4 linked regions of the Alligator mississippiensis genome follow. The protein of the gene in region 1 purifies or fractionates together with the protein of each later gene. This does not show direct contact. Links are inferred from orthologs where the notes say so. Each region holds a gene or a part of one and is shown in the gene's direction. Other genes may lie near its edges. The genes, in order: SMAD2, SMARCC1, KAT2B and SP1.

What was found.
Region 2: the proteins of SMAD2 (region 1) and SMARCC1 purify together in Homo sapiens (affinity purification with mass spectrometry; 3 studies listed by BioGRID, with this or other methods). This does not show direct contact. The link is inferred for Alligator mississippiensis from reciprocal best matches to the Homo sapiens genes SMAD2 and SMARCC1.
Region 3: the proteins of SMAD2 (region 1) and KAT2B purify together in Homo sapiens (affinity purification with western blotting, with the first as the bait; 3 studies listed by BioGRID). This does not show direct contact. The link is inferred for Alligator mississippiensis from reciprocal best matches to the Homo sapiens genes SMAD2 and KAT2B.
Region 4: the proteins of SMAD2 (region 1) and SP1 purify together in Homo sapiens (affinity purification with western blotting; 3 studies listed by BioGRID). This does not show direct contact. The link is inferred for Alligator mississippiensis from reciprocal best matches to the Homo sapiens genes SMAD2 and SP1.

Annotation. Positions count from the first base shown.
Region 1 is NC_081826.1:290,363,609-290,370,554, forward strand, and holds the start of SMAD2 (mothers against decapentaplegic homolog 2), read left to right. Parts: upstream 1-3,931; 5' UTR 3,932-4,021; intron 4,022-6,946. UniProt on the Homo sapiens protein: Receptor-regulated SMAD (R-SMAD) that is an intracellular signal transducer and transcriptional modulator activated by TGF-beta (transforming growth factor) and activin type 1 receptor kinases.
Region 2 is NC_081828.1:217,674,088-217,680,954, reverse strand, and holds the start of SMARCC1 (SWI/SNF complex subunit SMARCC1), read left to right. Parts: upstream 1-3,859; 5' UTR 3,860-3,874; coding exon 3,875-4,108; intron 4,109-6,867. UniProt on the Homo sapiens protein: Involved in transcriptional activation and repression of select genes by chromatin remodeling (alteration of DNA-nucleosome topology).
Region 3 is NC_081828.1:150,497,920-150,504,942, reverse strand, and holds the start of KAT2B (histone acetyltransferase KAT2B), read left to right. Parts: upstream 1-4,023; 5' UTR 4,024-4,126; coding exon 4,127-4,357; intron 4,358-7,023. UniProt on the Homo sapiens protein: Functions as a histone acetyltransferase (HAT) to promote transcriptional activation. Has significant histone acetyltransferase activity with core histones (H3 and H4), and also with nucleosome core particles.
Region 4 is NC_081838.1:8,792,628-8,800,602, reverse strand, and holds the start of SP1 (transcription factor Sp1), read left to right. Parts: upstream 1-4,957; 5' UTR 4,958-5,093; coding exon 5,094-5,100; intron 5,101-6,903; coding exon 6,904-7,007; intron 7,008-7,851; coding exon 7,852-7,975. UniProt on the Homo sapiens protein: Transcription factor that can activate or repress transcription in response to physiological and pathological stimuli.

The DNA of each region.
Region 1 (6,946 bases):
CTCTACTCAGCAGTTAATTTGCTACTTGCAAATGCAAATAGCAGATTAACTGATGAGTAATTTCTGCAGAGTAAGGCACATGTAGATGGTTGACCAGGAGCAAATTTGCTCCCAGGCAGCAGGAGGCAGGAGATTGCTCCCTGCCTCTGGGAGCTGCTGGCTGCCAGGGCAGACTCTACTAGTGGAGCCCAGGTGGGGTGCCTAGAAGCAGGGACCTCCTGGCCTTAGAGTAAATTACTCTGGAGTACACCCATCTAGCAGCATATGCATGTGTAGACAAACCCAGGGAACAGCAGATTCTCTTCACATTGGAGCTTGGCCCAGCACAAAGACTGAAGAGCTCCTGGGCCCATGAAGCTTGCATTAGTAGATTTTCCTGCATTTGTGTAGAGTTTGTTTTCCCTACCTGTCCATGTCTGATCCCTGTTGCACTTGCTGAACTCTACAGTCCAGGTATCTCTGCTTAGCTGTGCCTTTCTTCTTTGTGGTGGTTTCAAAGCTTTATGGTTCATTTCTTCCAGCAAATACATATGTCAGCCCAGGAACAAGATCCCCACACTGTTGCTCTGTATGTGTGTGTGGCAGATTGGCCAAGTCCATTTGCACTACAGGTAATTTAAGGGGGCCCCACACAACAGATCCACATTTTCAGGACCTGAGGAAAGACTAAACCAGCCTCTGGCCTCAGCTGTCCAACCCTTGTGCAGCCCCTCATCCTTATTCCTGCAGATGCTGGGCAGGACACAGCAGGTACTGGCTAGCTGCCTCTAGCCTGATGCCAACCGAGTACAGCAGGTGCCACCTGGCCTTCTGCTGCCTGAGGGCATGCTGAGCTGTTGTTCTCAGGAGCAGGTTAGGCAGTCACTGCATTTCAGTGACGCTGTTGATCTCTGTGCTGCCAGAAATTCTAGCAAATCTCCTTTTCTTCATCAGTGTAAGTGAGGGGCTATTGAAAAGTCTAGTGTTGTTCACTGTTGCCATGATGTTCTGCTTCAACATGGATAAATCTCCAGTGATGGTTGACCAGGCTGTTAAGCATGACCCATTGCATCCTACAGATAAACTCTTAAGGCCTGGTGGGGAAGCAAAAAATAGGAATATGTTTTCTGTCAATCACTTCTGTGCAAGATCATGGGTTCAAAGCTGTTGATAATCTGAGATTAGCACACCTCAAACATGCAGGAAGAGTGTTTTTGGGGGCCTTTTGTGGCAGTGCACTTATACACAGCAGCACCAATAGCAGATCTGCCCCCACCAAATTGGTTCTTCATGGATCAGCACCAGTTGACAGGGGTTCATAGCTTCCAGACAGTGCTTGCCACATATTTCTCCGTAGACCTCAGGGAGAATGGCCTCTGCAGTTCTGGAGTCGGCTCTGCATATAATTGCAGCACAGCGGTCTTCTGCATCCTGAAGTTCTCCCACCACTGCTGGTGGTCCTGTGCCTGCAGCACAGTCCCAATCTCAGTTTGCTTCCCACATCAAGAACTGGAGGTCCGCAGACTGGCAATGACTTGAGACCAAGCAAAAGCTCTTGGCACCTAGATAGCCTCATCTTTGGGTGGAACAGCCTGCACAGGTCAGTTAAGTGTCATGCGATGGGATGGTCCATCTCAGCCCTTGGGTGCTGTGCCTGCCATGGCAAAATTTGCTCACTATACAGATGAAGGCTTGAAGTGAAGCGCGCACACAGCCATGGGAAGCTAGAAGTGGCCTTGTAATCCAGTGAATGGATATAGCACGTTAAGTTGATGAGGTCAGAATGCATCCAGGCTACGCTCTTCAGTTTGAAAATGGCACTGTTCCTTTTAAAAAGAGGATGCCAGGTCAATCTGGGGATTTTTTTTGTAGTCGAATCATGGACAATAAACCTGGAGACTTTCAGGCATGCTCCTCCCAAAGTCCCACTATGCTGCAAAGGGATACTTCATCCATTCCTCACTTGATGTAGCTTGGAGCACGCTCAGGTTTTCACGCATGTGCTCTCATTTGTAGCAAACTGAACACAACGGTGTCATTATACACAACTGTCATGGAGCTGATTTGCTCATGGTTTATGCCTTGAGGCTGGCCTTTCAAGAGCTGAGGCTTTCGAAGGACTTGAGAGAGCTGTAGGGGTGAACTGGAGAATGAAGCCTGGACAGCGTGCGATGTTGGCTCGCTCTGCTTTTTTAGGCTTTACTGCTGAACATAGGGTAGAAAGCTGGGCGTGAAGCCTGCCCAGCTCAGCAGGGATTAGAAATGCTTCCCATCTAATGGATCTAATGCATTTTAACAGGATCTGAAGGGGGCGGGACAGGGACGTGGCTCTCCAGAGGATCCAGTTATGCTTACTATGACTTTTATTGAAGCGGGGTTGGGGGACGGGGGCAACCTCGTGCTCCCTGCCTATATCAGGCCCTAGGAAGACTGGGCGAGAACAGCTGGGAGGGCTGCGGAGGCTTTCCCACAGCTCTGTAGGGGTGTTTATACCGGGCCCTGATGGCAGGCAGGGGCTGATCCAGAGGGGCCCCAGATGTTAACTGCCCTACATCCGTCTCCCCGCAAGGGAAGAGATGGCTTTGCCCCCCCTCTTAACTTTTTCCTAGCCAAAGGCAGCTCCATTTAACCCCTGATTGGCCAAGGGGGAGAGGTAGCTTCACCTCCACGTAACCCTTTATTAAGGAGACCGCTTTGCCCCGACTCCAGGGCAGGTCCAGGGGGTGCAGTGCTACAGTCACATCCCGCTCTTGATTCCTGTTCCACCCAAAGCTTAAAACCAACTGCCTGGCAATGGCTGCAGCTTGTCTATGGCTTCAAAGTTTATTATATTCCGAGTCCTTCTCAACTCTTCCTTTCGCAGGCGTTACAGACCCCCTCTCCCGTGGTCTTCACCTTCTGCTAATCGAGCCAACCTTTCTTCTGCAATTCTGCTGCCTGCTCCCGGTAACGGCGCTCCTGTTTCACAGCCCGGCAGGCTGGTTTGAACTCCATTAAAAAACACCGAGTTGCCGATCAATAGCAGCGGTATGAAGCGTTTACACTCTGGATTTTATGCGGTGGTTTGGACAGGGATGATCCTGCCTTGGGCAGCCGCTTGGCTTCGATGACCGCGAGACCTCTCTTGCAGCCCCACTTCACCCCTCATTGGTGGAGGTGAGGGGGCTTCACCCCCACTCAACCCCTCATTGGCTGAGGAGAGGGGACTTCACCCTCACTTAACCCCTCATTGGTGGAGGAGAGGGGGATTTGCCCCCACTTAACCCCTCATTGGCTGAGGGCAGGGGCCCACTTAACCCCTCATTGGCCAAGGGGGAGGGGGCTTTACCTCCACTTAACCCCTCATTGGCCAAGGGGGAGGGGGCTTTACCTCCACTTAACCCCTCATTGGCTGAGGACAGGGGCCCAACTTAACGCCTCATTGGCCAAGGGGGAGGGGGAGCCCCCTATTGGCCAAAGGGGAGGGAGCTTCGCCTCCACTTAACCCCTCCTTGGCGGAGGGGGGGCGCTGCTTTGTCCCCGTCACGGCGCGGCGCGGAGCGGCGCGGAGGGATACGTGCCGGCGGCAGCGGAGGGATCGCGGCCCCCGGCCCCGGTGCGGCTGCGTGCCTGCGCGACAACCAAACTACCAGCAAACTCTCCCCTCCCCCACCCCGCGTCCCGGCCGGCGCAACCACCCCCACCCAACGGGCGCGCGGGGAGAGACACCCGCGCCCGCCAATCAGCGTACGCCGCTCCCCGCCCTCGCGCCTGCCCCCACCGGGAGGAGGTTGGGAAGCGGCCTCTCATCCCTCGCGCCCATTGGCCACCGGGTCCGCCAATCCCCCTGCTCGGGGGAGGCCCCGCCTAGCGCCCCTCGGCCAATCGCGGCTCGCGCTGTTTCGCAACGGACCGGCGGCGCAGCCAATCGGCCGCCCGGCTCCGGGCGCCACGGGTCCTGTGGCGGCCAATGGCGGCCGAGGGGGCGGGTGCCAGGAGGAAGCCAGCGACCGAGCGAGCTGGAGGGAGGGAGGCGGGAGCGGCGCCGCTGGCGGAGGCGCAGGTCGGTGTCGGGCGGCGGCGGCCGGGGTGGGGCGGCGGACCGGACTGGGCCGCGCGGTGGGGGGCGTCTGCGGGCCTCGCTCCGACCCCCCCGCTCCTCCCTGCTGAGGGGCGCGGCCCCGCCCCCTCCCCCCGCGGGGCCGCGTCACTCGCGCGTGCGAGCGCCCGCCTGCCCCCCCCCCCCCCCGGGTCCCAGCGCCGACCCCTCTCGGGGGGAGGGGCTGCACCGCCCCCCCGCAGTGGGGGGGGGGGTGCTCTGTATGAATCACACATATATATAAAATGTGTGTGTGTATATATACACACATGTACACACACACACACACACACATATATATATATATATATATATATACACACACACACCACCCCTCCCCCCCGCTGTGTCAGGCGTGGGGGGATGCGCTGGCACGCGAGAGGCCGAGGTGAGGCGAGATGCGGTGGGTTTCCTCGGACCAGCTGGGGAGCGAGAGAGAGAGTTGGGGGCTCGTGGCGGTCCAGGAGCGAAGCTGAGCCGGGCGCTGTCCTCGTCCTGGGTGTCCGGGATGGAGGCGCGGGTGCCAACCATCCCTGTGGGGCGGGAGGGTGGAGCAGGGGCTGTGTCACATTGGGGACCTGCCTGCCAAGGAGGACGGGGTTGGCTGTTGCGTGTCCCGAACGTGGAACCGGGGCTCGTTTTGGAGCAGCCGGCTTTCCTGGCGGGCCGGCCGTGGTGTGGTCCCTTGACCGTGGTGCGGTCAAGGGTGGGAAACTTAATGAACGGTGGCTCGGCAGTAGTGTGCTCTGGGTTTGCTGCTCGATGTCGTGCCCCCACTGACTTTGCGGCTGAGGGAGTCGGTGAGGAGCTGATCGGGGACGGCTGCGGCCTGTCGGGGTCGTTTAAAAAGGAGAGTGAAGAACTGGCCGACTTCTGTTGTGAGATGACCAGAGTAAGGTGTCCTGTGGGTTCTTGCTTCTCCTCGCAGGGAGAGGAGAGGAGCAGAAGCTTGGTGATTTTCATAATTGGCTGGCTGATGGTTTAACTTTTGCTTCCCCTGGGGTGTGGATTGCCTTCTTAGAGTTGAGGGTGGCAAGTTAGTGTGTGATGTTTCTTTAATCCTCTCTGAGACTGACACCGCATCTATTGCAAGCAAGAGGCTTGGAGGCAAACTTTTGCTTCATCTGTTGTTCACCTCCTGCCTCAAAACCTCCCTTAGAAACGCCTGACCCAACCTGACAGGGAGGATGAGAGTCCTCACAAGTATCTTAAAGATGGTTTTATTTGGTGTTCCCAAAGCTCAAGTAGGAATGAGTCAAAACTGATATCTGGCAGTGTGTTAGAAGGTGTAGCTTATACCATTGTCACTAACTGGATTTCCTTTCTGAGTGTCCATACAGAGCAGTACCCATCACAAGGAATAACAGCTGAATTTCTGAACAGCGATTTCTTGAAAGAAACACCCCCATGTGTGGGTACTTTCTATGGTGCACTGAAACTGAAGTAGGAGTAGTAATCTCTACTGAGGTTTTTGATCGTAATCTGACATTTAAACTCTGGCATTTATAAATTGGGGTTGTTGTTTTTTTTTAAACATTTAAATCAGTCTCCTCTCCCAAGTTCTGACTTCATGAACAAATTAAGTAATTGTGGATTACACACTAAATCTCCAGACCAAGGTCTTCCTAGTTCTTCCTTCTTTCTCTTCAATTTGATTTTTGATTTATTTTTTCTTTTTGCCCAAAAGAGCTGACTACAAGTCATTCCCACTGAACTTAATAATGCTGCAGATGCTCACTTACTGAACGCAGCTTAAAAACACAACTTCTGTGCATTTCTCTTATCCCTTCCTGGCAAGTGTCCTAGAGGGCAACAAGCTCGAGCTCCCTGAAAGGGCAAAGAGGATTCCCAAGTTCTGTCTGCAGAGCTCAGCACCTGCTGAAGTTTGAGATTAAAAATATTTTCCATCTTTTTTAGATGTATTTTAACACTCTTAATGGGCTGCACATGTAAGCACTGTAATTGAAAGCATCCATTTATGGGCCTGACTTGCTAAGTGAGCTGTAAATTCTGCTTTTCAAATTGGATTTAATGACTTTTATCATAAAGCCGCAAACTGCTTGTGAACTGTGCTGAGAGGCAAACAATACCTAAGCTTACTTTGCCAAAATATTTGTAATTGTTGATTTGTTAAACTGCATTGCTGCAGGTCATGGGATGGGATTAGTTTTTGTAGTAGAACAGAGTGTACAGGCAGTCCTGCGTTCAGTACTATCTGGGCTAGAAGAAATGAGTGAGTGCAGGCAGTCTTTCTGAACTCTGTTTTCGACTTCCAGCAGGCTTTGTGAAGCGTCCCTGGAGACTGCTCTATAAAGGCTAAGATTACACTTCTTCTGGTATGTTTTGTTATGGGTAAGGTACTCTGAAGTAATGAGGGGATATGGAGGGAAGTGGCTTCTTAATTTTCAAGCAGCTGAGACTGGAACTATTAGTTTAGATCAGACAAGGAAACATCTCCCAGATGATTAAAGACTCAGTTGCTTCAGGACCTTTTATGTTAGTACAGAAACCTTGATTTGTACAATTCTGTTGCTTTATCTTGTTGGAAGGGTTTTTGGTTGACCCATATGAAGAATCAGTCAGTCATCTGTTTGTATTGGGCCTTCTTGAAGTGGGACTTAACCCTGTGTGCTAGTTGTGAAATCCACAGCCCTCTTGCTTAATGTAGAGCGCTTGGAGTGAAGAAAAAGCTGACAAGTGATGTGGATCAAACAGAAGTTGGTATCTGTTAAATATTTTTTTTTTTCTGTAGCAAACTTGCACAGGAACATGATACGTTTAAGTAATCAGACTTCCACCTAAATGGAGTGCACACAATTTTTTCCATACATGAGGGGCAGTTATAGGAAACTGTCATGCCTTGAAATATTAACAAACCGCTTTCGGTAA
Region 2 (6,867 bases), on another chromosome or scaffold:
CAGAGCTGAGGAGCAACTGCTGAGAGCAATGTGTTTTTGCCCAAGGGACTTGGTGCATGGCTGGTACACGCAGGAGGTTGCTCTTGACCTTTGGGACTGCAGTGAGGCATAGAGAAGGTGCTACCTTAGGGGTATAGGTCTCAGGATGTTTAGGGCATTATAAGTGAATTCCAACACTTCCCTTGAATTGCGTGCAAAAAGCTCCTGGGAGCTAGTGCAGACCCTGGAGCACTGGAGTTATGTGCTTCTGATGACCCTTCTCAAGGGCAGCCCTGCGTAGAGCACATTGTGGTGGTCTAGCCTTGAGCTGCAAAGGCCTGGATGGTGGTGGCCAGATCAGACTCTGAAAGAAAGGGCTGCAGCTGTTCCTAGTGACCCCCACCACCTGAAGATCCAGGTGCAGCACAAGATCCGGGAGCACCTCAAGGCTGCAAACTTGAGTGACAAGGGGAGGCTGAACCCCATCCATGGCAGGTACCCCAGTACCCCTAGGTCACATGGCCTGCTCACCAGCATCCCGTGTCTTGTCTGGATTCAGTTTCACAATCCTTTTGCTGTTAGCAAATACCCGTGTCATTTATTAGCGCTGTGTGGCCTGACCCCCCAGATGCAGCTGAGAACTACATGTACGTGTGTGGCTCCATGTACTAGCACTATCTAGCTTGTAGAGCCATGTCACCTGGATGCAGGACTCCCCATGCCACGGGTCTGGAAATTTGGCAGCGGGGGACTGCTCCCCCATCACCAAATCTCTGGATCTGTGGGAAGACTCTTGGGCTCGATGACATGGCCTTGCAGGCAAGATCTGGCCAATGGGCTGGAAGCTGAACACCCCTGGAAGGGGCTGATCACTCTAAAATCTCAGGTCCTGGGTGTGTCTGCTTAGGCATCCAAGAGAGGTTGAAAGTTTTGATCTTCAGGTCTGCACCTCAGCTCCTCAACAAGACAGAGGGGATGATGCTGTTCCCTCCCCTTGCAGAAGTGTTGGGAGAATTCAAACCATGGACCTTTGCCTGTACTTGCCCTCCAATGAAAGCCCAAGAGCAGATCAGCTTCTTTCTCTGGAGTGCTCACTATGGTGTGTAACTAAGGCATGGGGCTCACGCCCCAAGCAACAAGGAGAGAACAAAATATGGCAGAGCTGCACATGCAGCAAGCACCGTCCGGGCTGTGCACCGTGAAAAGAACAGCGTGTCATCATACAGCCTTGCAGGGACACAGCGTTAAAGCTCCATTGTTTAATTCTGTCATCTCCTGACCTTAGCTGTGACGGCAAGCTTTTGATGTATTTTTTGTATTTCATGTGCAAAAACTGAGGAGAAGACAAACTGTAAACCCACAGGCAAGAGCCTCTGGGTGGAATCCAAATTCATGTAGCACTCGCCTTGGAGAGCTCCGAGACAGAGGAGGGAGTAACCTTGATCTTAAGAACTGGCTCAGACCACAACACCTGCTGATGGGCCTTTCCTCCAGGAACTGGTCCAATCCTACTATGAAACGGCTGGCAGCTTAAACATGGAAGGATGGGAGAGAGATTCCCAGCAGGGATCCGGTCCAGAGACAAAGATGCAACCAGGTGTCTTCATTCTGCAGGGTGGCCGGCCAAGGGCAGGATGAAGGCTGGGAGCTGGGGTGACCGAGCAAAGAGCAGGAAGTTTGGAGGTGGCTGGAAACGGCCCTTAGGGGTATTTTGCTCAGAGAGGGGGGTCCTGGGGCAGCTGGGAGGGACTGCACCAGTGCTCCTCAACTTTCTTAGACTGGAAATCCTCTGGGTAGACTCAGGGAACTGCTTGGAAAGTGCCAGCTCTGACTTTTAGGGATGTATTTGGTAGTCGTGTTGATCTGGGACAAAGAAATGCAAAAATCTAGAGCTCTTGGTTCAGAGATGATGCCTTTTATTTGGCTACTGAAGAGTAATAGAGCAATTCTTCTGTTGCAAAGAACTCAGCAAGACCACAACCATGGGTTTCTGTTTGCAATCTCTGGGATTCTCTTGTGAACCACATTTGCACACCTCAGCAGTATCTTATGCTGTGTATACCCCTGAAAGGATCCTGTTGCACCCCCATAGCACCCTGGTGGTGAATTGCTAGGCTGAACGTTGCCTGCAGTATCCTCATCCTCGTGACACCGAGCTCATGACTCAGGTGCCCTTGGGGCCAAATGCAGGGGATGCTTGAAGAGACTGTGGCTTTTGGATCCCCCTGCCCATCACAGCAGATGCACACGCGAGACCACGCTGCCCGCCGACCCCGTAGCCAGCACAGCCCAGGCACCTCCGTTCGCATCCAGCCCTGGCTGACTCGTGCTTGGAGGGGCGGCAGCTGGAGCAGGCCAGGGGTGGATCCAGGGGTGGGTGCACTGGTGCACTTGCACCCCGCTCGGAGTCCTGCTCCTCCCAAAGTTGAAAACCAGCTGCCTGGCAGCGTGACAGCAGTATGGCCAGTCAGGCAGTGCCGAAGGAGTCAGTTGACTGTGACTCGTTGTGATCTACCTGATCCCTTCTAAACTCCTCTTTCCACAGGTGTTAATGACCCTCCCTTCCTTGTAATGGTCTTCACCTGCCGCCAGGCAAGCTACTCTCTGCTCTGCCTCCTGGTGGGACGCTCCCATTTCACAGCCCTGCAGACTGACTGACTGGCTACAACTCAGTGCAATGAAGCGAGAGCTGGTTTTGCTTCAATCCCATACTGGTTCACCCAGCCCCTCCCCGCCTATCAGGAAAGCTTCTAGTTTCTTTTTAACTGCAAAAAATAGGTGCTTTGCATATGTGCCGATGCCTTCTCCCCAGCCTAGACCCCCACGGAGCAGGCCCTGCCCCAATAAAATGGGCAAGAGCCGCCCCTAACCCGCATCACAGCAAACACACGTGTTCCCCAACCCTGGCTCCCACGCATGCGCAACTATGAGTTCACCCACGTGCTCCCCTACCGCGGCTTCCACGCACGCGCACCGACATGCAACCCTAACCCGGCTTCTGCGCATGCGCAGCTATGGCTAACCGCGCTTATTCAGCCTACCCAGGAATTCACGCATGCGCACCCATATGCTCCCCTACGCCGCTTTCCACGCATACGCAGCTATGACTGAGCCTCGCGCCCACATGGTCCCACTACCCGGCTTCCACGCATGCGCAGTTGTGACAAGGCTTCGCGCCGACACTCTCAACTTACTAAGGCTGCTACGCATGTCCTAGCTACCGGGCTTCAACGCATGCGCAGCTATGGCTAAGCTTTGCGCCCACATACTCAAGCCACCCAGGCGCCCACACTTCCCCTCCCTCATCGACGCACGCACAGCTATAACTAGCCTTCGGGCCCATTCAACCACCCCGCTTCCACGCACGCTCGCCCACATGATCCCCTACCCGGCATCCACGCATGCGCAGCTATAGCTAAGCTTCGCGCCTACTCAGCTATCCACGCATGCGCACCTACTCTCCCCTCACCCCAGTTTCCACGCATGCGTAGCTATAGCTAAGCTTCGCGCCCACATAGTCAACACTACCCAGGACTCCACGCATGCCCACTTACACGCTCCCCCTACCCGTTCCCACGCATGCGCAACTATGCTTCGCGCCCATATGCTCAGCACCCCCCACTTCCGCGACTAGACTTCGCGCCTACACTCCCCATGCGCAGAGCCAATAATAATAATAATAATAATAAAAAAATAGTAAAATAAACCCGTCAAGGGAAAAAAAAAAAAAAAGCGGGTCGGCTCTGCCGCCAGGCATGCGCAGAAGCGTCGGGCGCCGTGCGCCTGCGCGGCGGTGACGCAGGCAGGCACCGGCGCGGCGGCTGCGGCGGCGGCAGCGGGCGCGGGTGGCCGAGCATGCCCAGAGGGGCGGGGCGTGGCGTGCGCGGCTCCACGCATGCGCGGCGTGAGGCGAGTGGGCGGCGCAGGCCCGCGCGGGCGGCGCTCGGCCGGGGCAGCAATGGCGGCGGTGGCGGCGGGCGCCGGGGCGGCGGCAGCGGCGCCGGGCTGGGCGGCCCTGGCCGTGGCGCGGCGCAAGGACGGCGGCCCCACGGGCAAGTTCTGGGAGAGCCCCGACACCGTGTCGCAGCTGGACTCGGCGCGCGTCTGGCTCGGCAAGCACTACAAGAAGGTGCGGGCTGAGGGGCGCGCGGGGTCGGCCTGAGGACAGCTGCAAGCCCTCCCGTGATGTGGGGGGTCGCTGCGTGCTCGTCGCGGGATTAGGGTGACAATAGCGAGGAAGACGGGGGTGGGAGCGAGGCCGAGGAGCCGGTGGTGAAACGGCCCAGAGATGCGAGCACACGAGGGACAGGAAAACGCAGCCTCCTTCCTGGGTGAGGTCCCGCGGTGCCCTGTCCCTTGGACCCCTCGAGTCGTGCAGCGGCGATGGGGCCGGGCTTGCCCCCGGCCCGCGCGTGCCGCGGGGACGTGTCCGAGGGCGAGTGGATGCCGTGTGACTTGCTCTGCTCAGTGTTTCCCCTGACTTTTGTCTCTTAGTTGTGCCAAGCAATCGGCGACGTGCCCTCGGGGGGCCCCCTCGCCAGGCAGGGCTCATAGCTGGACGTGGTGGACTTTGGCCCACGTTCCAGACTGGGATATCGAAGGCCGGTGTCGCGCCACGGCGGAGCGGATGCGGGCAGGGAGAGTGACCGGGGGTTGTTTCCGCTGTTGCTCTCCCGCTCGCGGCCTCCAGCACTTACAGGCGTAGGATGTTCGATTCGGAGGCCGTGCCCCTCGCTCCGCCGCTCAATAGCGACGGGTGTCCCTTTCCTCCGAGAACGTGTCCAGTCCCTTTCTGTATCTGGCTAAGCGGTCAGTTTCCGCCACAGCTGGTGGCAGGGAGTTTCACAGCCTCTGGTTGCTGTTCTTCCCACATCTTTTCTTTTATGTGCTCCTTCCTTGTGTCCCTCACCAAGTCCTGGGAGTTTTTGGTTGATCTGGGTCCCGCCATGTGCTAGACAGGGAGGAGGCTGTGGCCAGGGGAGCCTGGGTGAGCGTGGGGCTGTCTTCCTTTTACTCCTCCGCTCACGTCTCTGGGCAGTTTCGCTGGTCAAAGTCCGCAGGCTCATTCAGGGGCAGTGGTGTGCTCTGCTTGGTGTCCCTTTCTGCCTCTCTTGTGATTAACCTGCAACTTCGCTGCCTTTCCTGTTTCCTTACGATTTGTCCGAAGAAACCCTCTGATGTCTTTAGTGGTCTCCGTTGTTATAATATAGTTTCCTTGGTGGGCTGTGGGCTGCAATCCCCCCTGGCACATCAGAGAGGCCTGTCTCCAACAATGGGAGAAATGGATGCCAGAGGGAAAGCGTTGAACCAGATATCTCTAGAGTGACGTATCCCCTATTCACTACCCTCCCTGGATCCACTGTTATCGGGTTGGAGATGCTGGGGGAAATATCGTCAACCCTTCGGTTCAGCAACTATTAATAGATCTGTCTTCCATGAGTTTGCCTAGTCCCTTTTTTGAACCTGGCTGTGTTGTCCGCTTCTACCACCTGCTGTGGCAATGAATTCCATGCGTTAACTACATGTCCCATCAGGTTTTCCATCATCCCTTGCCTCAAGTTGCACGTGGAGTTTCGAAATATTTCTTGACACTTGGTGAGTTAGTCTCTAGGTACATCTCTATCTTGTCTTCTGCCTGATGTCTCACTAATTACCACCTGGAGGCTCAGGTACGCTTGAGAGGAGCATCATCTGGAGTAGGAGGAGAGGTGTGTTTTCCCTCCTAGCCACCCCAGCCCCTCAAGCTAATGCCTTTAAAGGGATGAGTTTTTTTTTTCTTTCCCAATTAAGAGCATTTGTGCCTGCCCCCTTGCTGTCAAGCTTTTCCCAAGCTTCACTGACTAATGCAGCTCTTGCTAATTCACTGCCACCCACAGGATGCTGGATTGCAGCTGTGGAAACCAGCAGCGCTCCTCGGTTCTCATTCTCCTCGCAGGGGAGGCCCTCCATCCATTGTTCTGCAGGCTGAAGGCAGCAGTGCTTGGTTATACTCTGTTCCCGCTGGGAAGATTGATAATGAACATGCTTCATGTTTTTCTTTCCTCCTATGTCTTAATAGGATTTATTTGGAGAAGATCTTGGTTTGGGCAAGTGAATTTTGAAAGCCCTATATAGTGGAAAGGATAATAATGTAGGATTTGGGAGAAGTCCTAAAAATCTGCATCTCTTTTCGCCAGAAAAGGAATGAATGTATGCATTGACTTCAAAATTCTTGTTTCCTCATTTTAGGTGGAAAAGTTTCCTTCCTTAAATAAACTTGACAAAAAAAGTTACTAAAGGTAGTTATTTACAACAAGTTAGTCTAACACTTCAACCTTAGTCTTACTGTTAGTGGCAGAATGTTTCACTATCTTCAGGGGACACAACAAAGATACCGTAGGCTTCTCAATGGAATAGCTCACGTCTGCTTGCCAAGTGTGGCCTGTGGAGATACCAAATTACGAACAAAATGTTAGGAGCAAAAACAACCCTGTTTTATTCATGATCTGCGTGTAAACATCTTTTTGATGTGTCTTAGATTTCTGCCGTGCATTTGAGACTAGTAAAGAATCCTCCATTTTTAATTGCAAGGGAGCATGACTCTGTTTCACGTGTATGGGGGGCTGTCTGTGTGTGTCGGAGGTCTAGTCCTATTGCTGTCTGCCCATTCTAGTTGAGGTTCTAAATCTTTATGCGATCTGTACTGAGATGCTGTATCCAACATGCCTTTTTTTTGGAAAAGATGTGTGATAAAATACCATGTTACTTAGAAACTGGCATTCAAATGAGATTAAATATGGAGTAATTAGATTCTCCTTTATTTTGTGGTCATATCCTCAGGGCTCTATTTGAGTAAATTGTTGCAGTTTTGTTTACATAACTAATTTTTTTCTGTTAAAGTGCCTCTAG
Region 3 (7,023 bases), on another chromosome or scaffold:
TTTGAATGAAGATAATGGCTATACTACTACACTTGTTCTGTTCTATAATGAAAAAAAATTACAGCTTACCTAGCACAGCTTCTGGAGCTATTCCTCAGTAATACTAAGCTTTAGTTCTGCATATATAATGAAACTGGTGTTTACAAAAGTTACTATAGAAACGGTATCCCTAGCCACTGGTGGTGATTTATTGTTCTCATTATCTATTAAGCAATACGGTAAAAAGATATGGGTGCTGAAAGACAATCATGCTCTTGAGGATATAAGAAGGAAGTGCAGTAAAAGTGCTCTTTCAATTTGTAATAACTATTGTCTTAATATATGTACTTAGATTTCAAAACAGAACTCATTTCCCCTTAACAAAATTAACATGAACAAGGCCGCATATAAAATATAAACAATGCTTAAAGGGTATGGGTATTTTAATAAAAGGCAGTGTCTGCCTCATGCTTTACATACTTGGTTTTATTTTTAATAGAAATAAAACTCCTCTAGACAAATAGGACTTAGAAAAAGCTCCAGAAGAAGGTATGTGCTTAGGCCTTGATCCTACAAGTATTTGCACATGGGCTTAACTTTTGTGCATCACAGGGCCTATTGAAGTCAGCAAGACTACTTCCACAGGCAGGGAAAATGAAAGTGAAATAGATTAATATATTTTAACTGATTGAAAGGAAAATAAAAGTAAATAGCAAAAACAATAACCATGCCATTGCATTTTTTTATTCACAATCTCACATGTAGAGTAGACAGAGTAGGTAAGGTAATCATTGTTTTAAAAACTTTACTCTTCATCAATTATTGCATGTTCTTATTTAAAGAAATAAAAATTCCTCTGATTTAAGTTGTGTTCAAAGGGAGTCATTTTTTAAATTTAAAATGCCCTTAAAGTTTGTGCAGACTATCTCTGTTGGCACTATACCTCTCACCATTGCTCTCTTTTAAAGTTCTGCGAGGCTTGGGTTTGAATGACCAGTCCACCTTAACAGCCTATCTTAAAAAATATGGGACGTTAGCAGCCATCTTAAAGGGTCACTGTCAGCTTGAATGTAACATTTTTGCCTGAAAATACTGTATCAACTCCAACTGCTAACACTGGCCAGGAATTTTTCAGTGACACAGATGTGTGTTGAAAAGTGCTGATTGGAAAAGCTGAAATGTTTATATGAAAGTGAATGTTTCAATAAACTTCTGACAAAACACAGGAACTTTGCTTTCCTGCCAGCTCACCCAGGAGGCCCACAGCTATGGGGCAGCTCTCTCAGGAAGACTGGGCTTTCTTTGTTAATAGTGGTAGGAACAAGGACAATGCTGGGTGCTGGCTTTGGCTGCTGGCTCTGCAGCAGGGAGACTGGCATTTCTGAGACCCCTGGCTTGAACTAGGACTCTCACAGATTCCAGGTTTCTTTTCAGTCCAAGGATCCCAGTCCCTGAAGTCTCATGATTCAGCTGTGACCCCCAAAGCTTAATGCCTCCTACCTCCCCATCTGTTTACTGGGACTCACCAGGCTTTGAGAGCCACTGCTGACCTGGGGACTTTGGAACTGGCCACTATGACCTCATGATGTCTCTTCCAGCCCTAATTTCCTATGATCCTGTGATTCTTCTTAGGATTGTTTTGCGCTTAACAATGGGAGACAATCACTTAGTTATGTACAAAGAATTCAGCCCATTCTCCCCAATATTAAAGCATTTGCTATTTGGGCCAAAAATAGATTTACTTTTAAATTCTCAGAACATGTATTAATTACTTTGAGTTACAATTAATTTTCAAATGTGTCCTTTTAAAAATGTAGCACCTGGAGTCACACTTGTTTGTTGTCAGGAATGATCTCAATACATACTCTTCAGACTTGCCACATGATTAAAACTCACTAGTATTTCTTGCCTTAGCAGCATTTTAAATCCTCTTTCCTCTGAAAAATCAGTATTCAGAAAAAAAAAAAAAATCCAAATGCTATCCAGTATGAAAATGCAGAGTTAGGGCAACTAAGCAACCTTGACTCTGCCCTCAAGCATTCTTGACTATGCCCTAGAGTGAGGCCATGAGGGGAAAACAAAACTGATGTGTGTTTAAGAGCAGTTTTATAACCCAGGACTATAATCTTATGCTAATAGTAATTATATAGCTGTTGCTTGATAATGTCAGATGGTAAAGTTAAGGTGCTCAAGTGCTTTAATTGTATGTTGCCATGCCCAAATTCCTTTTCAAGTTACCCTTATTTCTGAATGTCCTGAATTTACCATGCTTGTTGACAGGGGCAGATCCAGGGGGTTGCAGTAGTGCAGTTAGACCCCCACTTTGATTCCTGCTGCTCCCAAACTTTAAAACCAATTACCTGGGCAGCAGGGAGGGGACTTCATGGCTTATTATCATCTCCCTGAGTCCTGCTGAATTCTACCCACTCCACAGGTGTTAATATAACAAGCTATCCTCTTCAATAATTGTCATATTTCACGATTCAAACTATCCTTTCTTCTGCAATTTTGCTTTCTTTTAGCCATTCCTGGTAATGTCTCTCTTCTGTTTCATAGCCCAGCAGAACTGTATTCAGCGCTAGCTTCAGCACTTATCTCAGGTGTGGTAATATTAATTCAGAAGTAGAAACCACCGAGTGTGTCTACACGAGACTTTACTGCGGAGCTGCCTAGTTAGCTCCACAGTAAATGTCTCAGTGTCTACATGTGCAGTGCTACTAGGCAGGAATAAACTAACCGTGCAGCACCCTTGTGCCTCAGCCAGTCCCTTGAGAGCAGGTTGAGCTGGGCTGAAGCAGCTTCTGGCTGGCAAGCTGACCACCCCCACAGCTCCCTGCCAACTGGGGCTGCTCCCACCCAGCTCAATATGCTGCTGTCCTGGGCCCAGGAGCAATAAACTCTGGCAGGATGTGTGCTGGAGTTAATTGCACATGTAAATGTGCCCCAGCCAAGGCTCTGTGTACCCAGGTCTTAAAAACCTCTAAGGATGGAGCTTCCACCACCTCTCTGGGGTCACCTGTTCCAGTGTCTTACTACCCTCCTCTGCACTGGTGACGTATAGGGGGTGCATGGGGGAGAGCGCTGGTGCACCCCCTGACAGGCTGTGCTCCCTGCTTAGGCGATGGGGGTGAGGGGGCAGGCAGGAGGGCTGTGAGTATTGGCCTGGGAACAGGAGTGCTGGATGAAGGGCCACAGCCACTTCTGGGAGTGTTGCCGCTGCTTCCCGGTCCGTGCGAGCACCTATGGGGCCCCCCCCGGTCAGTGAGATTGGCTGTGGGGGACTGCCCCAGTTACTGACTGGTTGCTGGTGGGTCACATGCCCCCCCAAGGTGCCACCAGTCACCCACACTCCTCTGAGAAAGTGTTTGCCAAAACCCATGAATGATTGGTGCCTCCCGAGACTGGGGGGGCACAATGTGTGGGCAGCAGCGTTGGTGGCAGGGTGGTGAGCAGCAACCCCCGCCCCCCGCAGAAACTAGCAGCGGCCAAGCTCAGGGGCTGCACGTGTCCCCCCACAGAAGTTGCCTATGCCAAGACCCTGCCTAAACGTCCCTTGCCGCAACTTGAAATTATTGCTCCTTGTTCCATCTTCTGCCCCCTCCCCGAGAACAGGCCAACTCCGGCCTCTCCGTAACCCCCGCCAGGGAACCGAAGGCTGCTATGAAATCCCCCGTCTCCTCTCCTCCGGATTACACAGACTGGTTGGCCGTGTGGGGGGCACGCACGCACACACACACACACACACCTCCTAAGCCATTTTGCTGCCTTTCCCCCGAGGGGTGTGAAGTCTCCCCTCAGGAAGGAGGCGCGGGGCTGCCCGCAGACGGAGGGGGAGCGCGGCGCCGTCACGCACGAGGGGACTTGGGGGGGTGGCGGTGGCGGGCGGCACCAGGTGCGGGAGCCGGGCCGGGCCGCGCGGGGCTGGGCTGCGGCGAGGGGCCGGGACACAGGCCTCGTCAGTCCCTCCCCCTGGCACCGGGGCGCCCTGTCCCCGGCCGCCGCCTGCTCCCGGCTCGGGAGGTGCCGCCGAGGTGCGGCCAGTCCCCTCCCTCCTCCCTCCCGGGGAGCAGCCGGCGGCGGCGGCGCTGGGAAGAAGGGGAGGGTCCAAGCGCTGGGCGCGCCGCGCCCGCCCGCCCGAGGCGGCGGCATGGCCGAGGCTGGCGGGGCCGGGCCGGCGGCGGGCGCGGGCCCGCAGCAGGGCTCCCCCGCCGCCGGGGGACTGCCCGCGGGCGGCGCGGCCCGGGCTGCTGCCGCCGCCGAGAGCCCCGGGGGCGGCGGGGGCGCCGGCTCGGCCCGCATCGCCGGCAAGAAGGCGCAGCTGCGCTCCGCGCCCCGCGCCAAGAAGCTGGAGAAGCTGGGCGTCTACTCCGCCTGCAAGGTACCCCCCACCCCGCCGCCGCCGCCGCCGCTTGTGGGGCACTCGCCCCGGGAGGCCGGGCCGGGCCGGGCCGGGCCGCGGGGTGAGGCGGCGGTGGCGGGGGAGCTCCGCCCCGCCCCGCACTGCACTGCACGTCTCTGCCCGTTCCTGCGGGGACGGGGGAGGGGAGAGCCGGGCTGCGAGCTGTGCAGCGGCGCCCCCGCTGGGCCCTGCTCTGCCTTTCCGGGCAGCAGCGCCTTTGTTGTGACAGGCGGACAGCTGACGGGGCGGCGCTCCCGGCCGGGGGGACCTGAGCTGGGGCAGGAGCTCGCCCAGCTCCCGGGGAAGGTGGGCGAGGAGCTGCCTAGGCGGCAGCCGTGTACCCCCGTGAAGAAGAAGGCTAGTGGCATTGCTGGACGATCGCAGTGTTTTATATCCTGTAGGTGTTCTCATTGATTGCCGAGGCAGGGAAAACACCACATGTCTTGGTTCACGAAGGCAGTTTTCCTTAAGCCTTCCTGGGGATAACTGTTCTTCCAGCGCTGCTTAGTACCCACCGAGGTGCTGGGGCTTAATGCCCATTTTATGGAAATGGGAGGCTCCACCCTAGCTTGCTCCTATGCCTGAGGGTAGGTGAAACTTGGGGGCTTCTGAACCCCAAGCCTCCTGGTTTGGGCCTGCACACAGGATGCCTGCCAAAAAACGATGGAAATATCTGAAGGTCGTGGTTGGGGGTGGAGGATGTTTGCTGGTTCTAGGGCCACTTATGTTTCTGGACTGACTCATGGATTTGGCTGATTTGGGTTGGAACACAAAAAATTTCTTAAAAAAAAAAAAAGAAAGCTGTATGAATAGGAGCGGGGTCAGTGGATGGAGGGAAGTGATTGTCCTCCTCTGGTTGACACTGGTGAAGCCACGTCTGCAGCCGGTTTGGGGCCCTCCGCTACAGAGAGGTTGTGGATAAATTCGGGAGGGCAAAGGAAAATGGTTAGCAGGGCGGGGAGCATGATTTAGGAAGAGAGGCAGACGGAACTGGGCTTACAGGCAGACCCTGGACTTATGACGCAATTGCTTCCTGAAACCCTCATCTTAAGTCCAAATGTTGTAAGTCTGTACCAATTTTTCCCATAGGCAACAATGTTATAAATGGGGGATTGGTTTCTGAACCAAGGCTGGATACCCAATTTTCACCAAAAATAACCCAGAATTTTGTACTCAATTATAGATGAGTAATATAGCTACATTCATGTATTTATATGGTAAATAGCAATCATACTGGTTTGGAAGGACTTCTTTGCGGCAACTTTGCTCAACTTTTTGAAGGGCTCTTGGTTGGGCTTTTTGAAGGGTTCTTGGCTGGAGTCTTCTCTACAGGTTTTTGTGGAGTTTTGTCTGCTTTTTTAAAGAAAGTGTCCAAGGAAGTTTGGACAGATGCTCTCCAGGGAGATGGGCAACGTAGCGAACTTGTTCACTGGCGTGGCATCATGTTGGATCAAGCATTGTAAAGTCTAAACTGAGGCCAGAAAGTTGAAACAGGGTGTCAATTTATAAACCTTGTAAGTGCAAAACCTTGTAACTTGAAATGTTGTAAGTCTAGGACTGCCTGTATTTAGTCTGAAGAAGAGAAGATGGAGGGGGGATTTAATAGCAGTCTTCAATTCCCTGAAGGGAGGTTTCAGAGAGGATGGAGCTAGATCGGGGGTAAGCAACCCCCAGCACGGGTGCCAGAGTGCATTTTGCTTGGTGTGTGCATCTCAGGACAAATGGCAGGGAAGGAGTCAGGGCTGTGCCGGCGGATCAGGCCCCTCATGGCTCCCCTGCCATCTTCCTCTGGCATGCCAACATCTTACAAGCTGAGGATGCCAATATTTTTGGCACTTTGTCCAAAAACATTGCTGACCCCTGAGCTAGATTGTTATCAATGGTAGCTGATGACAGAACAAGGAGCAACAGTCTCAAGTTGCAGCAAGGGAAGTTTACATTGGATATTAGGAAAAAATTTCTCACTAGCAAGGTGGTGAAGCACTGAAACAGGTTACCCAGAGAGGTGGTGCAATCTCTATCCATGGAGGTTTTTAAGACTTGACTAGACAAAGCTGTGGCTGGGATGATCTAGCTGGGGATGGTCCTGCTTTGAGCAGGGGGTTGGACTAGATGGCCTCCTGATGTCTGTTCCAACTCTAATTCTCTATGATTCTAAGCAGTGGCTCCTAACATAGGCACAGAGACAGAAACTTTCCTTTAATTTTTTTAAAGTCCTTCCTAGCCAGCAGGCACAATTTGAACATAGAATATTCTTAGTTTGATTCCCAGTGGAGAGCAAGTGGGTAGCATCACAAAACACCACCACTGCACATGGCATCCTCTTGAGGCTCAGTGCTTTGAGGTTATGCCTAGTAATTGAGTTTGGGCTCAGGGAAGCTTATGCTCCTCTGATTCAGTTAGTTTCTAATGTGAGTCTCTAACCTAGTCATGATTTAGATCTGTTCCTCTAGTTGTGTTTAGCCACTCTAGATCTGTTACTGTGGCCAGGTATTGTGGATATTGCCGTTGCCTTTGCTATACTTTTTTTTATGAGTAGATATGCCATTCATTGAGGGTCATTAACTCAGTTGCTCTCATGAGAACTCTGTTCTTGTAAGCTATTTTCACTAGAAAAATAGTCTAGATATATGGAGGTGAATCTG
Region 4 (7,975 bases), on another chromosome or scaffold:
CTTGCTGCCTTTCTGGGTGCCCTGCTGGTGCTGCTGGTGGCCAGAGTGGGTATGCACGTGTCCTTGCAGCTCCACTGTGGTGGCTGCCGTGTCACTTGTTTCCTATGGCTGCTCCTGCCCGAGGGGTGCTTGCAGGGAATGAGCCATGCAGTCTCAGCCCAGTGCTGGGGGTCTGGGAGCAGCTCAGCAGAGGGGCCGAGGACCTGGTGCATCCTACAGACTGATCAGGGAAGGGACACAGGGGCTACATTGGGTCACACGGGCGCGATCAGAGGCAGGAGCTTGCTGCCTCTGTGCTGGGGAGTCTGCAGGGCTGCCGACAGGCACTGCATACAAGTATGGCAGGGGCATCAAATGGACATGCACAAGTGCCCATGGAGGCCTATGAAGAAGGGTGGATTGCAAATGGACAGCCTGGGGGCAAGATACAGCCTGTGGAGCCCTGGCATCCAGCCCCCAGTGCTGCAGGTCTGAGTGACCCACACAGGGCCACAGGCAAGATCCAGGTCACGTGCCATACATGGCGCCCGCCCCGGCAGCTCTGGGACTACTGCCTGCTCCAGCCAGTCTGGGACCCCCATGAGCAGCATAGGTCCCAGGCAGGTGGGGGCAGGTGCTGGATCCGGTATGCTAGGCGAGGGGGTGGGGAGGAGAGCTATGGGCCTGATCCAACCCCATGCCACTCCTCCAACCCCCTGTGGCACCTCCGGCATAGGGCAGAGGGAGCCTGTCCCGGTGGAAGCACTGGCAGGCGGCAGCCAGCAGGGGATAGGACTCCTGGATTGTATTCCCAGCTCTGGGATGGGGGGTGCCATCTCATTTATGGGGTGGGGACACTGAATACTCGAACTCCCGGGTTTTGTTCCCAGTTCTACCATGGGAGGGTCTAATATTTATTGGTGGCGTGGGGGAAGCAGACATCAGGACTCCTGGGTTCTCTTCCTGGCTCTGTCCCTGCCTTGTTTAAAGCAACCTTTGCCCCCTCCTCACTCCTCTCCTCGGGATCTGGCTTGTTGCCTCTGGCTCTGATTCTCTCTAGCAGAGCATTGGGGGGTGGGGGGGGCTGGAGCAGGGGCAGGGAGGGAGCCTGTGGGGGGGCCTAGAAGGGAGGAAGGGTTAGCTGAGGGCGAGGGCTCCACACCCATAGGCTGCAGAAGCAGATAAGGCTGCAGGAAGGCTGGGGCTCCCCCCCTCCCTGCCTGGCTTGGCTGGCCAGGGCCCAGCAGCTGCCAGCAGCCAGCTCACCCCAGCCAGGGCCCTCTTTGAACAGCTCCTGGCTCATTCACAGGCTGCAGGGCTCTGCCATCGACCAGCAGCAGGGCAGGCTGCAGATCAGCTTGGAGGGAGGGTGGGCTAGTGGTTAGTGCCTGGGATTCAGGACTCCCGGGTTCACCTCTCAGCGCTGGGAAGGGCCGCTGGATCAGTGGCGGGGGTCGCGGGCATAGACATGACCCCCTGGCACCCACCCTCCTGCACAGACATGGACCAGTCAGTGATGGGGACAGGGTGGCCTGGATCCTACTGTGGGGGGAGACTGAGAGTGAGGACTCCTGTGTTTTCTCAGCTCCAGGGGAGGCGAGGTAGGGAGCTGCTGACCCTCTCTGTGCCTCAGTTTCCCTTCTGTTGCAGAGGAGGAGGAGGAGGGCCCTGCTGAGGTCAACCCAGAGTAGCAAAGCCCGGTGAATGGCACCAGTGCTGGCTCCTGCCTATCAAAGAGCCCAGCTGGCCCATCCTCCAGCCCAGCCCAGCCCAGGGGCCGGCCCAGGAAGGAGGGGATGGACTGGCTCCACATGGCTTTGTTGTCTGCCTTTGTGGCAACCCATTGCGCTGGGATTTAAAGGGACAGGCTGGATTTTCTAAGCCTGGGGAGGCAGGTGGCTCCCTCCCAGGGGTGGGGGAGGGAACCTGCCAGTCTCTGCCCCTGCGCTGCATTTGCTAATGGGGATGATGCTGCAGATCAGCTATAAAAATAGAACCCCCTCCCCGCCAGGCTTGACAGCCACAGTGCTGTGCAGAAGGGGTCAGCGGCATTGCCCCCCTTCTCAGACAGGTAAACTGAGGCAAGGACTTGTCCGAGATCACCTGGGAATAGGATCCAGGCCACCCTGTCCCCATCACTGACTGGTCCATATCTGTGTAGGAGGGTGGGTGTTGGTCATGTCTATGGCACAGACCTTTGCAGGCAGAGCTGGTCAGTCAGGGAGGGCACGAGGCATGATCAGGAGGGCAAAAGAGGAGTGAGGTGCCACGTCAGTGATGGGCCAGGACTTCCCCCTCCTCACTGTTAGCTATGGTGCCTGCAGCAGGCAAGACCCAGGTGACTTTCCCGTTCCACAGATGGGGGAAACTGAGGCGCAGACGTGCCATGAGCTCCCCAAGCCATGCCACGAGGCTGGGAAGAGGCTGCTGCCTCGTGACTTCCCCTCCTACCCGGTTGACTGCTGCCCTCCTTTTCTCGGCACTAATTATCTATCATGCTAATAACAGAGGATGTTATGGAAGGCAGTCAGGCCGCCCAGGACACAGCTGGTTTGAAGGATGTTATCCAGAACGATGCTGGATTTGCTGTCCAGCTAGTCAGCCTCATGGTGGTCGGCTCCAAAAGTCAAGGACTTTGGAGGAGTTCCAGAGTAGGACTTCCAGATGCTCCAGCTGTGTCCCTGGTGCCGCGGGCCATCAGTGTTGGCTGGGGGTGGTTTGGGGCTGGGGATGCTGTCAACACCCTGAGCTCTTATTTGGAAAGCAGTGGCAGTCAGGCAGGCAGCATCTCTTTGCGGCGGTGGGAAAGAGCGTGGTTGAAATGTTTCTTCCCTTCCCCAAAGCAGAATCCGTGCCGCACCCACCAGCCCAGGGTGGAGAGCGGCTCAGATGCCAGATTTGAACCAACACTCCCTCTGAAATGCGGAGGCTCTGGAGGGGGAGGCACGTGCTGTGCTGCTGAACTCAAGACATGCGAGAGGGACTTTTTAGGAGGAGACGTGGGAGGGCGAGAGTCTGGGGCAGGCTACGCAAGCGCATCCAGTACACACGCAGGGGGCTAAACAAGCTGACCTGCGAGCTCCCATCCAGGCCTGACTCCGCTCTTGAACAAGCCTTGTGTCCTCCTGTTAAGCATGGGAGGAGCTTCCTGGAAAAGCCAGGATGGCTCCCCCATCCTTCTCCTAATCCCTCCCTCTGCCCAGGTGCTCCCAAACCTGGAGCAGAAGGCAGCTGGCAGGCTGAAACTGCAGTTCCCGTAACTCCCCCTTCGGCCCAGCTGCTCCTGGCAGCCACCTGATGTCTCTGATCTCACATGTTGATTGCAGACTTTTCCGGGCAAAGAGCATGTGGTTTTGCTTTGGGTCTGTGCAAGTATCTAGCCCTAGAGGGGCCTTCTCCTCCACGGGGGAGGGGGCTCTTTGATACGGCAGCCCTCTCAATAACAACACTCTTGGAGCGTTTTGCTCGGAGGGAATCCTGCTTGACAAACCCACGGCGGTTGTTTTCACAATGAAAGCTCTCCAAACCTGCCAGCCAGGACGCAGTGGGGAACGAGGAGAAAAAAATGAAGCGGGTCTGTCGGAGGCAAAGGGCGGTTGTGTTGGGTGACGGCACAATTTTCCAGCTGCTGCGAGAGAAAAGAAAGGGCAACTGGGCGTTGCTCGTAAGGACGCCCGGGACCGAGGGGGATAGATCCGAGTGCAGTTCTGACCCCTGCCCTTTCGATCTCCAGCAGTCTCCAAAATCAACAGCATGGGGCGGCGGGGGGGTGGGGGGTGGATTTTACTTTCCATCCCCGCCAGGATCGTTCTGCTCCCGGCTCCGCCGCAACGAGACGTGTCGGGTCCTCACAAAACCCCGGCTCCGAACGCCTCCAAAAGTCCAGCCCCGCATGTGTTTTGCACCCACCCATTGCAATAATCATCAGGGTGCCGCACGCCAGCGGTGCGGGCTGACCCGTTCCTAGGGCCAGACGCTGGCGTGAGCGAACCGAAAGGGGCCCCGAAAATGGTCGTTTAAACATTATGATGATCTCTAGCGATAGTTTAGATTTAGATTTATTTTCCAAGGCTTCAGCTATCCGGCAGGAGGCCTCGTCCAGGGTCTCCGCAGGTTTCAGGGAGCAGGGCCTGGCCCGAGGGAGGCCACGTGGCGACAGGCCCCGCTGGGCGACACGTGGTGGCAGGGCGGTGCGCGCGTGCGGTGCTTGGGCGCACGAGGGGGTCGCAGGCACCTCCTCAAGGGCGTGGGCGGGGACTGAGCTAAAATGGCGCCGCTCCGCCACATTCCCCACCGCCTCTCCTCCCAGCGTGTAATCCACCGCCTAGGCCTCCCGCCTCCTCGCGCGTCCCATTGGCCGGTTTGAGGGGGCTCGCCTCTCCCATTGGTCGGGGATCCGCAGCCTCACCAGTCGCCTGGCTTCTGATTGGTCGTTGTGCACGCCGAGCTCCAATCCGACCTGCCTTACGTCAACGGGCGTGGGCCTGCTTGACAACTGATTGGGGAGGCTGGACGTCGATCTGATTTTCGTCCCGCCCCTCCTCGCGAGGCGCTGTCTTAGGAGCCCGCCTAAACTGCGATTCGTCGTTCTGCCTGTCAATCACTGCCTCCTTCCACGCTTCCCCCAGCCTCGCCCTTACGGGGTCTCCCTGGGAGCCCTCGTGCCTGCCGATTGGCCGCCCATCACGTCACTCACCCTTGGGCCTCACCCCCTCATCCCACCCCCGCCGGGGGAGCTGCGCGGGCTTCCTATTGGCCGCCGCCTCCGTCACTCCCTCCTTCCCCCCTCCCTCATTGGGCGGAGCCGTTCAAAGGGGCGTATCTCAGGGCCGGGGATTCGGGCGGGCTTCTCCCCCTCCCTCCTAGGCTCCGCCCGCTTCCTCATTCGAGGGCCGGCTTGCCACTCGCCGCGCGTCCCGCCCCCGCTACCGCTCCGCGGCTCCTGATTGGGCACGGCCGGGCTGCGGGGCGTGGCCCGGGGCCGGGGCCGCGTCGCGCCGCTCCCTCCCTCGCCAGCCCTTTGGCGGTCACCGGCGGGGTTAGGCTGCCTCGTCACCGCGCCGGCCTCCGCCCCTCCCCCGGCAGCGACTTGGACTCGCCCCCCCGCGGCCACCATGAGCGGTACGGACCGGACCACCCCGGCCCGGGGGAGGGGGCCCAGCCCTGCCCCGCCCCGCCCCGCCCCGGCCCGGCCCGGCCGCCCGCGCCGAGGGGAGGGCCCCGGGGGAGGGGGCTGCGGGCGGGGGAGGGCCCGGGGGAGGGGCCGGCGGGCGGCCTCGTGGAGCGGGGCGCTGCGGGGAGGCCCGGGACCCCCGGCAGGGGGGGAAATATGGGGGAAGGCCCGGGATCCTTGCGGGGGGGCGGGAAACGTCATGGGGAAAGTCCCGGGGATCCCTGAGGGGAGGGGGCTGCGGTCCTTGATGCGGGGGAGGGCAAATATTACGGGGGAAGGGACTGGAGGCTCTGACAGAGGGGTGGGGGGGCTGAGGAGGGGGCCAGATGTCGTAGGGGAAGGGTCTGGGGTCTCTGTAACGGGGCTGGGGGCTCTGACAGCGGGGTGGGCGCGGGCTGAGGGTCATGAGGAGGGGTGCAAATATGGGGGAAGACCCTGGGATCCCTGAGGGGAGGGGAGGGGGCTGCGGTTCCTGATGGGGGGGCAAATATCATGGGGGAAGGGGCTGGGGGCTCTGACAGGGGGGTGGGGGGCGCTGAGGAGGGGCCAAATATCATGGGGGAAGGGGCTGGGGTCCTTGTAAGGGGGCTGGGGCTGAGGGTCATGAGGAGGACGGATATGGGGGGGGCTGAGGGCTCTGACAGGGCGGTGAGGGGGGAGCTGAGGGCCATGATTTGGGGGGGGGTGCAAGTGTCATGAGGAAGGCTTGGGATCCCTGAAGGGAGAGGATGGGGGAGCAGATGTCATGGGGGTATCCCTGAGGGGGGGGGCCATGAGAGAGAAGGCAAATATGGGGGAAGGGCCTGGGATCCCTGTAATGGGGGGGGTGCTGGGGGCTCTGAGGTGGGGGGAGGCAAAGGCCCTAGGATCCCTGGGTTGGGGGAGGGCAGCTCTAAGGGCTCTTCTCTCCCACTTGCCCTGGGAGCTGGGGGGAGGCAGGGAGGGGTTGACCCCCACCCAGATCTGAGGGCAGGGCCGAGGGAGGTGCCAGGGAAGAGGGGGAGGAGGGTGAAGTCTCCTGGGCAAGGTCCCAAGGGAACAGGCTGGAATTGCTGCTGGGCAAAGGGATTTCCTGTGGGGTGGGAGTGAAGGAGGCCTGAGGCGGGTGGTGGAGTAGGGCTGGGTGGGGAGGCAGGGACTGACAGGAGGGTTGGGGAGTGGAGCTCGGTCCTCCCTCTGGCCTCTGTGCCACCCTCCAGCCTCAGCTCCCTTTTCCCACAGTCTCTCCATTGTCCCAGCGCCCCCCCCCCCTTTATCTTCCCATTTCCCTTCTTGTGGCCCTGAAGTACCCAAAAATGGAAGGAGTTGGCCCTTGGCAGGTCCTACCGTGTTGTCCACCCACTCTGCGTTCCCACCCTTCCCTCTTGCTGCTCTTCCTTCTCCTTTATGTCTGCTTTCCCCTCCTTGGACTTGTTGATGGGTCAGCCAGCAGGTGCTGGGCGATGTGCTGTGCTCAGTGTCCCCCCTTGAAGCAGTCATTCATTAACCTTTGATCTGCACTCCCACCCACCCTGTTTTCACTTGTCCCCCAGAATCTGTTGGAGCACACATAGTGACCCTTTCTAATAATGGGGGTGGGGAGTATACAAGTTTCTTTGTGGGTTCGCCCCCACATTCCCAATATGTACCAAAGATACATCTCCTTTCCCCCACTGTGTCACTCTGTTCAGCCTCTCTCATCATTCTCTTTTTGGTGAACATTTTCTTGCTTTGCTTATCACTTGACCTCCTTTCTCCCCCCTGCTCTGCAGACCAAGAGAGCCCCGAAGAAGTGGCTGTGGTGAAGTCTGAGAAAATAGAAGGAGGTGGTGACAGCAGCAGCAACAGCATCAGTGAAGGCAATGGGGAGGGTCAGGTGAGCAGCGCATGGGTATGTGTTGGGGAGTGGACAGCTGTCCAAATGGGGCTAGCTCCATGTTTTGCTCTTGTTTAGGGGCCCTGTTGAAGTACTAATATGCCCTGTGAACCCACAGAAATGTTTGATTTGAGTCCTGGGACTTCTTATGGTAGCATCATGACCAGTACCTCTCTGACGGCCAAGCTTAGGAATCTCATTGAGAGAGAGGAGGTTTAAGTTTGGGGCTGCCGGTTGCTTCCTTGACCTCCCTTCTCTAACACACACTAGAGCTACTGTGTGTAAGCCTGTATGTACAGTCTTAAATAAATCCCTGAACAAGCTCTCCACTGCACACACTTCTCACCCCAGGGAGAGGAAAGAAGAATATAAATGCCCAACAGACATTGCCTAAAGCAGTTCTGGACAGCATTCTGGTGCCTCCAGTATGAACACAGCCTACAAAGAGCAGTGGCTGCCTCGCCAGGGTCATATCCGGCACCCTTGGTCTTCCAGAAATACTTAGCACAGCTGCTGCTTTAAACACATCTTTATAATCGAGGACGCACTCAGATGGGTGTCTAGAAGCAGCAGCACTTCCTCTTAGGACATATCAGTTCATAGAGGGGAAACCCCCTTGCTTTGGGCTGAGCTGCAGAGATAGTTTTAAAGCCACACTTTATTTTCAGAAACCCCTAAGCCCTGTCAGGCCCATGTCTGCTTGGGGTGCTTTCCGGCTGTGGGTGGGTGTTTGTTACTGAGGAGTGTTTATCTTGTGGGCGGCAGCTCCTCCCTGTTTGCTCTCATGCGCACTGCCCACTAGGCGAGTTCTGGCGAATTAACTCCTCCTTTCTCTGCTTGTCAGGAATCCCAGCCTTCTCCCTTGGCTCTGCTGGCAGCCACATGCAGTAGGATTGAGTCTCCCAATGAGAACTCAAACAGCTCCCAGAGCCAGCAAGGCGGCTCGGGCGAGCTGGACCTCACAGCCG